Linked DNA regions of Macaca mulatta. The protein of the gene in region 1 interacts with the protein of each later gene in a pairwise test. Links are inferred from orthologs where the notes say so. Each region holds a gene or a part of one and is shown on either strand. Other genes may lie near its edges.

Region 1 (5,926 bases):
GTCTACAAGTTCTAAAAGCTGGTATTTCTAACATAAAATTTGCTAATCTTTCAGTTTTTATTAATTAGAAGCTAATAGGATTCTATCTCTGGATTTACAGTTTTAAAAAGTTTTATTTTGGCATACTGGGATATCTGTAACTTATTTGGCATAATATATGGCCTAATCAGAAATTCTGCTATCAAGTTCTTCACTATATTTTTAAAAAATTATGTACAATTGTAAATTTGAAGTACAGTTTTTGAAGAGTCAGACTTAAAACAAAGGTAAGAATACATATATTAAGTCTTGATCCCTTAGCTCAGGGAAAGCAGAACAGACCATAGGCAAGGACTGTCAGTGGCCGACAACTAATACTTGAGTAATCATTATGTATCAGGTACTTTACATGTGATATCTTTTTTTAATGTCTTATAATTTTAGTTTAAAAAAATTTTAATAGACAATAACTGCACATATTTATGGGGGTACACAGTGATGTTGCAATACATATAACGTATAGTGATTAGATCAGGGTAATTAGCATATCTATCATCTCAGAAACATTATGTCTTTGTTTTGGGAACATGCAATATCCTTCCAGCTATTTGAAACTATATAGTATTGTTAACTACAGTCATCCTACAGTGCTACAGAACACTAGAACTTACACCTCCTATCTAGTTGTAATTTTGTATTTTACAACTTCGAAGTAGGTGTAATTATCCCTATTTAGACTATACTTGTATGAAACAGAAATTATTTTCATTTTACAGATGAGGAAACTGAGACGCAGAGAAGTAATCTGTCCAAAGTCCACTGGGTTATAAGATTCATAACAAGAACTACAACTTGGGTCTATCTGAATCTTAAACTTCTGGCACTATACTTGCTCACAGGTTTGAAAAGAAGAGCTTTAATTTCTACTATTTCTCAAGAATTTGTAATGCTTTCTCTTGTCACTGTGCTTTCAACTTACAGGGGTTGCAGTTTTGATAAAAGACAAACTGATTTAGCTCTAGCTTTGTTAGATCTGTAATTCAGAAGCAACTCCAGGCTTCCATTTCTACTAATGCTTTCTAAATCTAATTATGTTATAAATAGTCCTGTTGCTTTAATTCACTTTTTACCCTAACATTATTAATCAAGTTTAACTTTGAAATCTCCATATTTTATGTGAGACCTCCCAAGGCTATCCAATCTTATTTTCCTTTGTAAATTTATTGTTGCTCAGCCTATTTCATTAAGGACAGCTTTAATTTTAATACTTTATAATTATTTTCAAAGTGCATGATAATGGTTTATCAGTCTGGTTAGTACATCAGAGATTTCTATTGGCGCTATCAGAGATGTTAACATCCAACAGTTTTACCAAAGTGTAACTGTTATAGATGTCTTGTTTAACATGTAACTTTTTTGTTTATTGGAATTAAGCAATTACCAGACATGAATTTATGCAACAAAAATGTTTAATGTGAACAGTGACATGCATATTTGATAGCTCACTGCAGTCTGCATCATTGTCTCGATTCCAAAATTTCATTTTAAGCCGTTTAGTACTTACAGAACAAAGGGGGTTATCTTAGGTAACTTTTAATATCCTGGGCTATTTTCCAATTCACGATACAGGGGGAAAAAAATGTGTCCAGGGCCCTTAAAAGAAAATACTTTGAATTTAAATATGACACATACATTAAGCCCACGTGACACGCCAGGGAGGCGGTGGAAGTCAAGTGCATTTGTTTTTGTTACATCCATCAGGGCGATCTCTTTCACAATTCTGGGAGAGGCCTGTTTGTTCCTCCACTCCCACAGTTGAAGTTTGGACAAAGTTTGAGAAAATCCCAGGCACCTGCGGCTCCTAGTGAAGCCCGCGAGGAGCATAGGGGAAAGCACCTCTTCCCCAGTTTTCAGTCTTCAGATCGCAGGCCTCTCGAACCCGCAGAGCGAGCGTCACGCTGCCGCGCCTGAGAAATGAGCGCTATTTCAAGGACAGGCCCTGGGTCCTCACTGACGCTTCGCAAAGGTGTGCGTCCGCCCAAGGAAAGCCGGCGGCGCAGCGACGGCGAGGAGTCTCCCCACCCATCTTTTCTTCAAGCAGCAGTAGCTGGGTCTGGGTACCCAACCGACGAGCCGAGACGCCAGAAGCCAGAGGACGAAGTTGAAAGCCTGCGCCCCGAGCCAACCGGAATTCCACTTAGCTCCGCGCGGTCCGCGCCTCGGCCGGAAGGGGGCGTGGCTTCGGGCCGGCGCGGCGAGGCCCGCCGCCGAGTGGGGGGGGTTCCTCCCGGGCCCCGGCCGCGCGTTTCCGGTGCGCTCCCCCGCGCCCTCCGTCCTGTGGTCTCGCCCGTCCCCGCTGCCATGTTGGATTGTGCGGCCGCCGCCGCCGCCGCTGCGGGAGGGTTGGGGGAGGAGTTGGGAGTTTAGCGCAGTCGCTGGAGTGCGAGGACAACGACCATCCGGCCCTATCCTGGCCGGGCGGGAGCTGGGAGCTTCCCTTTCTCAGCGCGGCCCGAAGGTGGCTCGCCGTCGGCGCCTGCGACCCTCGACCTCCTCCTCCTCCGCGCTCCGGAGGAGCTGCGAGATGTGGCGCCTCTGACTCCGCTTCTCCCCGCCCCTGTCACCGAGAGGGGTAACGAGCTCTCGCCCACTCGCGGGAGGAGACGGCCCTGGACTCCCAACCCTGCCGGCGAAACCATGAGCTCCGTCCAGCAGCAGCCGCCGCCGCCGCGGAGGGTCACCAACGTGGGGTCCCTGCTGCTCACCCCGCAGGAGAACGAGTCCCTCTTCACTTTCCTCGGCAAGAAATGTGTGGTCAGTGGATAAGAACCGCGTCGCCACCCGTGACATTACCTCACGGGCCCAGACTTGGGGGCCGGGAAGTGGGAGTAGGGAAGGAGGCGGGAGCGGCGCGGGGAGGGTCCCGCTTGTCGGCCAGGCCTCCCGCCAGCCCCGGCCCCTCGTCGGCGCCCTCGCCCTGCTCCCTGGGTGCGGGCTGTGGCGGTCGGGCGCCGCCTCCCCGAGCTTTGGGGAACAAGGGAGTGTCACCTCCGCAGGCCTGTCCTCCAGCCTGGCCGGGCCTCGGTCCGCGCCCTGGCTGCTGGTTAAAACTTTACTCTCAGGCCGCAAGGGGATTTTCTTGTAAGAGTCGCTTGGTCCCAGAATCTGGGCCCTTGCTCTAGCTCTCGCGTCACCTCCTCCTGCTGGATCTGGGGGTACCTTCCTTAACAATGCCAGGTTTGAGGAGTGGATAGGTCGGGGAAGGAAGGTGGTTTTCACTCTCCCATTAGGATTCCAGGAGGGAATGAAGTCGAGTGCAAGAGCCTGGGCTCTCTTCAGATTAGAGAGGATAAAAAAATTGTTACTGCTCTTCGTTAAAGAGAAACAAGATTGATTTCTCCAGCAACCTTGTCTAGGCCTGGTTTCTACTTTCCTTCCCACTGATTTTTTCCCCCATTGGTGGGAGGGGGTGCTGCTTTCCCCGCAGCCATGCGCAGGGAAACCTCAATCTCTGGTAGTTCTTGGTTTTTGGGGCCGAGAATGATTCTTAGTTTGGTGCTGTGCGGCCAATTCCAACCCCAGATGGCCGGTTGGGAGCGAGCAGTTCTGCTGTGGGAAGGGGAATGTGTGTTGTTGACGGAAGCATTCGTTACATTGGCTGCTGGCACTTCTGGGGGTGGGGAGGTTCTGCTCTGTGGTATAGGCCTTGTCGGAATCATACTGCGGTGCTGGGTTGAAGTGTGGTTTGTTGAAATCCTGGCTGGGTCTCTTTCTCTCCACTTTGTTTGCTAGCACCTGCAGAGTACGTGCCACTGGAATCCAGAAAACACGGAAATTTCAACAAAGCAATACCATTTTATAACTCCTTTAATGTTAGGTATGCCAAACCAGATTTCACCTGCTTCTTTACGAAGTTAGGGTTAGACAATTTCTGGAAAGTTCTTGGATTAATTGTTAACGTCGTAGGAGTCCACCCTTTGTATCTTGTGCCATCCGGTTGGAGATTGAATCGTTCCATTCAATTTCAGATGTGTTTCAAATTTCGGAACTTAGACCTTAGAGAACATTGAGTTTCGTGATTAGAAGGATGAAACGAGAGGAGTGGCTCAAAACGAGAATTTTGGTTAACAACTTTAAGCCCCTCCCCATTCACACACTTTTTTCAACAAATGAGAAAACTGATCCAGTGAGCCCAAGTCATACAACAGTTTAACGATGTAACCAGAACCAGAAAACCGGGACTCCTCATGCCTCGTCCTATCCCATGGTACTTTCCACTACATCATGTTGTTTTAGAAGGGTGTTTTTTTTTTTTTCTTGTTACCGATTTATTTCCAAAAGTGGTGTTAAAGGAATAACCACTTTGCCTTTTTCACCAAAAACTAATTAAAATACAAGATTCTTAAAGCACCACTAATGTTTGCATATGTTCAGTTTAGGAAAATCTCCAGCACTTTGAATGTTAGTTACCTCCAATGAAAAAAAAATTCAGTTGTTGGTTTAGTAGATTAGCTGTGTAACCTGTATCAAAAAGGAAGTAGTCATACTGTGTTCTACATACCACACACATTAACTTTACGCAGAAAGAACATTACATTTATACACAAGTATAGTAATTGTCCTGTGCTTACCTATAGTTTTACTGGTTTCAAAAAATGGCAGATGGGGAAAAATACTGTGATAGGGAAAAATGATGTTGCACGTTGGTTAGTGTAAGTGGATTGCTGAATAGGCTGTCAGTATTCAGTGCTTAATTTCTTTACGCCATCTTTTATTAATTAACTTTACCTTTTGCATTTCTGTCATTTAAAAACCACACTGTGTCAGTTGCCTGCTTCTGTGGGATAAGTCGTTGCATACACTAATTTCAAAAATTGAAGTCCCTAGTTAATAGAGAGTTAAGAGTGATATTTTAATTTTTGAAATAATCTTTTTCTCCCTTTGCTGATTATGCAGGGTTTTTTTTGTCTTTTAAAACATTACCGAAATACATTGTCTCATAATAAATCCAGCAGTAAGATTTACAGGTCAGACCAAATGTGTTAGGCAGAAGAGTACTCAGAGCTCTATTTAAGAATTCAAGAAATGAAACAGAAGCAGTTACAGTCTTAGCTCTGAAGGAGCTTCATATCTTCTTTCATTCAACAAACATGCATTGATTAAATGTTGAGGTCAAAATCTAGAAGGGCTGAAACTTGTCCTCAGGGAGCTTACTAGGTCTAAAAAGGGAAACGTGTAAACTGATAAATAAGTCAGTGCTTCAGAGTGATGTGTAAGAGGCTACTTTTCACAATAGAAAATGTCTTGGCTTTGTAATAGCAAATATGGGTTCAAACTGGGGGTCACTTTGGATAAGTTTCTTAAGCTTCCTATCCTAGATTTGGTTTTCTCATGTGTAAAACAAAGATACTATCTCATGGGTAGTTGTGTGGATTAAGACTGTGTGTAAATATATGGAAACTATTTTTATACAGGTTTAGGGGATTAAAGGAGAGAATGGGGGGAGAGAGGTTGAGTAAAAGCTTGTTAAAATGGATAACTGAATATTTATATCTAAACAGGTGCTCCCTAGGCTGATGAGAGGTATGAAACAACTTGAAAAGTTAGGAGACCTACTAATAAGTTTATTAGATTTCTTAGGGAGCAAGGAGGGCTTCTGCTTGGGCTCTCAGATTTAGGTATGCATTGGAATCATTGTGGAGATTATGAGAAATGCATATGCCTAGACCCAATTCCTAGATAATATTCAGAATCACTGGATATGAGGTGAAGCTTGGACATGTCTCTTTTTAACAAACTTAACAGAAGATTTTAAAGTATATCACAGTTTGAAAACCACTGCTGAAGACCACGTCTGATAGGATAATCCTTGAGCACATTGGAAATCTTAATAGATTTTTCTTCAGTTTTTGGTCTATATTTTGCAAATTGAAGCTCAATTAAGTTA
Region 2 (5,796 bases), on another chromosome or scaffold:
CCCTGCACTGCCTGGTCTTAGAATTTACCTTGGTACTACTGATATTTCTCCTATACTATAGTTAAAGAGTGCAGTGAGGTTAACCGGAAATCTCAGGACCACTCAATGGAACACTAAATTTCCCATGGGAACTGACTGCCGACCCATATGTGAGGGGTTGTTTTCATTTACAATAGTTTTGCAAGCATTTCAGCTTACACATATTATTGATCTAAAAGATCATCTTGTCCTTGCCCACCTTCACAAGACTATCTCTTCCCTCCTGGGCACAATTCCTACTGTTTCTCAAATAACAAGTAAATATGGCCTGGTACAGTGGCTCACACCTGTAATCCCAGCACTTTGGGAAGCCCAGGCGGGCGGATCACATGAGGCCAGGAGTTCGAGACCAGCCTGGCCAACATGGCGAAACCCCGTCTCTACTGAAAATACAAAAATTAAATGGGCATAGTGGTGCACATCTGTAATCCCAGCTACTTCGGAGGCTGAGGCAGAAGAACGGCTTGAAGCGGGAAGGTGGAGGTGTGATCACACCACTGCACTCCAGCCTGGGTGACAGAGGGAGTACTCTGTCTCAAAACAAAACACCCCACAACAAAAGCCCCCAAACCAGTAAATATAACCATCCTTTCCCTTTTTTCCCTTGGGGCAGAAAATTTAATGAAAACTAAATACAAGAGAAGAAAAGGGAAGAGAAGGTTCTGTTGTTTTCCCCAAAGGCCTAGATACTTTATAGTACCTGAGAACTAGCTAATTTGCAATAAATCTCTACTTGTTTTTCCACCAAACTCTATGCATTGCTTTAACAAGCTTAAAGCCACTTATTTAGACAATTTACTACAGTATTCCCATTAATGAAATGAAAGGAACTCTGTTTTATTATTTTATCCACAACATCTGAGACTAAGAACTGGAAAGGCAGGGCGCTGATCTACCTTTGCTGTTATAATGTTATTAGCATACCTCTTAAAATCTTGTGCAAAACAGCTTGTGCTATGATGTGGGGACATTACAATAAGTACAACTTCTTCTCTTGCCTCTGATTCAGACTTCTTTTCAGGCTATGCTACGACTTGACCTTGCAGGCAGCCAAGCCTGGCAGGCTTCTCCTACACACAGGTCCCTGAAGCCAGCCACAGTCTTACCACTGTGTCTTTACCATTCACTCGGTTTGCACGAGTCCGTCCCCATAGAAGTGGCCCCACAAAGAACTATCAAATGGTTCAGAATATGTCTAAGAGTGCTTTGGAGTCTTCTTGCCCTTCCTACAGGTGCTTTCATTCTTCCTCCCCATCCCACCTGCCCAAGACTGCAGTACCAAGCTATTCAGAAGAGTCATAAATTAATCCACAACAATTGAATCTAAAGGAATAACACTTGCCCACTAAGTTACCTTAGAAAGTTGTGTGTATGCAGGGATCACACTAAGTAATGTATGTGAAATTAACTAATAGTTATGCATGAAAATAATTTATTTTTGTGTGTAGTATTCAGGTTATCATTCAGGTGTTCTTGTTTTAATTTGCTAAACTTCTCACAAACATCTGCTGTTGGAAAGGGCCAGGCAGGGAAAGATCTGTGCTCAAGCTAAAAGCCTGAATGCTTCATGTGGACTTTTAGGCACTAATACCTGGATAGAAGAAGTATTCTATCCAGAAAATGGATAGAATTTTGGATAGAATACAGAGATGTTTTCCTGGTGTTCCTCAGATCACAGCACACAAGTAACCCTTTATAACACCTCCTAATCGAGCAAAATTTGAGCCTGGACATGAATTCCTCCTCTGACTTGAAGAACTACTGCTCTGGGGTGGAATTAAATAATCCACATCTTGGCACTTGATCATACAGCCCATATGGATGTTCTTAGACTGCTTCATCGTATAAATCCCCTCTCCCCACTCAAGCCTTAAACTCTTCGAGCGCAGAAATTTTATTTGTCCTCACTGTACACCAAACAATGTTAAATACTCAGTAAATACCTGGCAGACTGAATTGAGGCGGCACGGCTTATAGGAAAAATCTAACCGAACATACATTAAGACTTAAAAGACTTACTGAATTTACAACATCATGACCAACCATCCACTTTTACTGCAAAGAGAACTTTTCATACAGATTATTTCCAAAACCCAGGTGGTTCCCAGTCACGACAAGCTTGTCCCTGACCCAGTTCTCCTTCTCAACCTGATTGCAATCTAACTCCCTCCTCCCCCTCCCTCGCCCTTTCAAGATGCACGCTGGTGCATCTTTCCCCTTAAAAATGTTTTCATTTGCAACTGCATTAGTAAAGACGAGAGGCAGCCTCTGGAGAGAACTCTGAATCCCTGCCCGACCCACCTCAGGGAGTACCACTCGGCCGTACCGAGCCTCACCGGAGAAATGTGGCCCAGCCCAAGTCGCCCATGTTCCTCAGAGTTGGGAAGGAGGAAGACATTTCTACGTGAAAGTTTGTTTTAAGGGACAAAGCCCAAAACTTGAATCGTTTTCAAAACAAACTCGAGAAAGTTCACGCGCCAGGCCCCGCCTCGGCTTCCCTGCGGCTCGCGGCCCCCGCCACCGTTCCCCGACCTGGGCACCGCGGGGCTCCGTGCGCCCTAAACGGGATCTGGCCAGCCCCCGCCCTCCCCTCCTCGACACCCCCGCGTCTCCTCACATTCTCTGCGCGTCCCTCTCCTTCCCGGCCCCGCTACCCGCTGGCCCAGGCCTCTCTGGACGGGGCCAGCTTCTCGCCCCACAGGCCGCGGGCCAGGGCCTCCGTCCTCACCCCAACCCTTGTGGCCCCCCATGGCTCCCCAGAGCCGAACTCTCTTTTCTTTCTCTCATTCGGCCCCTATTTCTCCCCCAAACACCTCCCACCGCAGACCCTTCAGTCGCTCGCGCCAGAACCGCTTTCTCCCTTCTCTCCCCAGGAATCCACCCCCCACAGACACTTCGCTCCTCTTCCTGGTGCCCGCCTCCTCTCTGCCATTCATTCAGCGCAGCAAGACACCTTCCTCCCTCCCCGAGCCCCGCTCCCTCCAGCCCCTGCCCTCCGCCCCACAGGACCCCTTCCCCCGTACCTCGCGCCCATCTTCCAGCAGCAGCCACCCGGCGCTCATCCCCACCCGCCGCAGGCACCAGCTCCGGCCACGGGCGCGGTCTCCTGTGACGAAGAAGCCGGGCTCCCCCATCGCCTACTCGACCCCGGGGGCGGTCAGCACCGAGCGAGACCCCGACCCAGGCTCCGGCTGCCTCTGTGCATCCTCTCAGCTTCCATATCTAAACAACAGACAGAAGCAATCACCACACGCTCGCGATCGCTGCGAATGCAGGCTCCGCTCGCCCGCCCTCGGCCAGGAAGCAGGAGCACTGCGCCTGCGCAAGAGACGGCGGCCGCCCTGGGGCAAAGAGGGTGAGTCAGGAGCCAATCCGACCCTGGGCGGGGCGGGCGTGACGCGAGGGCTCTCCTCCCCTCACAACTTCGCTCGCCCCCTCCAGAACCATCACCTCAGTCCTAGTCGCCCCAAAGTGGAACCTCTCCTCACCTTTCCTCTTTTTAAAAAAATCATGGGCCGGGCGCGGTGGCTCACGCCTGTAATCCCAGCACTTTGGGAGGCCGAGACGGGCGGATCACGAGGTCAGGAGATCGAGACCATCCTGGCTAACACGGTGAAACCCCGTCTCCACTAAAAAATACAAAAAACTAGCCGGGCGAGGTGGCGGGCGCCTATAGTCCCAGCTACTCGGGAGGCTGAGGCAGGAGAATGGCGTGAACCCGGGAGGCGGAGCTTGCAGTGAGCTGAGATCCGGCCACCGCACTCCAGCCTGGGTGACAGAGCGAGACTCCGTCTCAAAAAATAAAAAAATAAAAAAATAAAAAAATCATGTAAAACTATAGCCCACTTTTAAACAACTTTAAACTTTCCATCAGATTTAAGTCTGCCTAGTCTGTTCCTAAATAGTCTCTATTTTGCACGACCTCCTTATATTACCGAAGTAAAAAATAGATTACACTAGGCAAATCTACAAAGACACAGAGCACAGTTACCTGGGGCGAGGTGTGGGAGCGGGGATTGAATGCAGGTGGGCTTAAAAAAATTGGAGGAAAGTAGAAATGTTCTAAAAGTGGATTGTGGTGACAATTGCACAACTGTGTAAGTTTATTAAAAAGTCATGGAAGTGTGGCTGGACGCAGTGGCTCACGCCTGTAATCCTAGCATTTTGGGAGGTCGAGGCGGGCAGATAGCTTGAGTTCAGGAGTTGTGACCAACCTGGCCACAAGGGGAGACACCGTCTCTACAAAAAAAAAAAAAAAAAAAAAAAAAAAGGAAGGGAGGGAGAGAAAGAAAGGAAAAAAGAAAAAAAAGAAAAATTAGCTGGGTGTGGTGGTGCACACCTGTAGTCCCGCTACTCGGGAGGCTGAGGTGGGAGGATCTCCTGACCCCGGGAGGCAGAGGTTGCAGTGAGCTAATATGGCGCCACTGCATCGCAGCCTGAGCAACAGAGTGAGACCCTGTAAGGTGAAGTGAAGGAAGTGTACACTTTCAGTGGGTGAATTTTATGGCATGTAAATTATACTCAATAAAAGTGTTAATTTTATTATTATTATTATTGATTAGAGACTGGGTCTCGCCTTGTCACCCAGGCTGGAGTGCAGTGGCGCGATCTCGGCTCACTGCAACCTCTGCCTCCGTGTTCAAGCGATTCTCCTGCCTCAGCCTCCAGAGTAGCTGGGATTACAGGCATGCGCCACCAAGCCCAGCTAATTTTGGTATTTTTTGGTAGATATCGGGTTTTGCCATGTCTTCTGGATTCAAGCGATCCAACCGCCTCTGCCTTCCAAAGTGCTGAGATTACAAGCATGAGCCACCAAGCCCGGCCAACTAAAAAACTGTTTTTAAATTCAGCCTCTCATTTGGATTTTCCATACAGTGTGATAGCTGCTGCCTGTAGTGAGTACCTCCAATGGTTGAGCCCCTTTTGTCTTTTCAGTTTTCCAACACCTAGTTAACAATTTCTTTTTCTCTTTTTTCTTTCTTTCTTTCTCTTTCTTTCTTTCTTTCTCTTTCTTTCTTTCTTTCTTTCTCTTTCTTTCTTTTCTTTCATTCATTCTTTCTTCTTTCTTTCTCTCTTTTTCTTTCTTGCTTTCTCTTTCTTTCTTTCTCTTTTTCTTTCTTTCTCTTTCTTTTCTTTCTCTTTTCCTTCCTTCCTTCCTTCTTTCTTCCTCTTTCTTTTTCTTTTTCTTTTTCTTTTGCACCAGGGGAATGAAGGAAAACAATTTTCCTAAATAAAATTCTGTCAAAAAAACAGCCAGGTCTGGGCATGGTGGCTCATGCCTGTAATCCCAGCACTTTGAGAGGCCGAGGTGGGCAGATCACCTGAGGTTGGGAGTTCAAGACCAGCCTGACCAACATGGAGAAACCCCGTCTCTACTAAAAATACAAAGTTAGCCCAGCGTGGTGGCACATGCCTGTAATCCCAGCTACTTGGGAGGCTGAGCCAGGAGACTCGCTTGAATCCAGGAGGCGGAGGTTGCGGTGAGCTGAGATCTTGCCATTGCACTCCAGCCTGGGCAACAAGAGTGAAACTCCATCAAAAACAACAACAACAACAACGACAACAACAACAACACAGCCAGGCATGGTGGCTCACGCCTGTAATCCTAGCACTTCGAGAGGCCGAGGCAGGTGGATCACCTGAGGTCAGGAGTTCCAGACCAGCCTGGCCAACGTGGTAAAACCCCGTCTCTAGTAAAAATACAAAAATGATCCGGGCATGGTGGTGAGCACCTGTTATCCCAGCTACTGGGGAGGC

What was found. The genes of interacting proteins can lie anywhere in the genome.
Region 2: the proteins of WASL (region 1) and RNF8 interact in binary tests that used the Homo sapiens proteins (3 or more experiments, as listed by UniProt). The two-hybrid records come from large-scale screens. The link is inferred for Macaca mulatta from reciprocal best matches to the Homo sapiens genes WASL and RNF8.

Annotation. Positions count from the first base shown.
Region 1 is NC_133408.1:163,547,477-163,553,402, reverse strand, and holds the start of WASL (actin nucleation-promoting factor WASL), read left to right. Parts: upstream 1-2,421; 5' UTR 2,422-2,676; coding exon 2,677-2,793; intron 2,794-5,926. UniProt on the Homo sapiens protein: Regulates actin polymerization by stimulating the actin-nucleating activity of the Arp2/3 complex. Involved in various processes, such as mitosis and cytokinesis, via its role in the regulation of actin polymerization.
Region 2 is NC_133409.1:144,882,086-144,887,881, forward strand, and holds the start of RNF8 (E3 ubiquitin-protein ligase RNF8), read right to left. Parts: upstream 3,296-5,796; 5' UTR 3,174-3,295; coding exon 3,063-3,173; intron 1-3,062. UniProt on the Homo sapiens protein: E3 ubiquitin-protein ligase that plays a key role in DNA damage signaling via 2 distinct roles: by mediating the 'Lys-63'-linked ubiquitination of histones H2A and H2AX and promoting the recruitment of DNA repair proteins at double-strand breaks (DSBs) sites, and by catalyzing 'Lys-48'-linked ubiquitination to remove target proteins from DNA damage sites.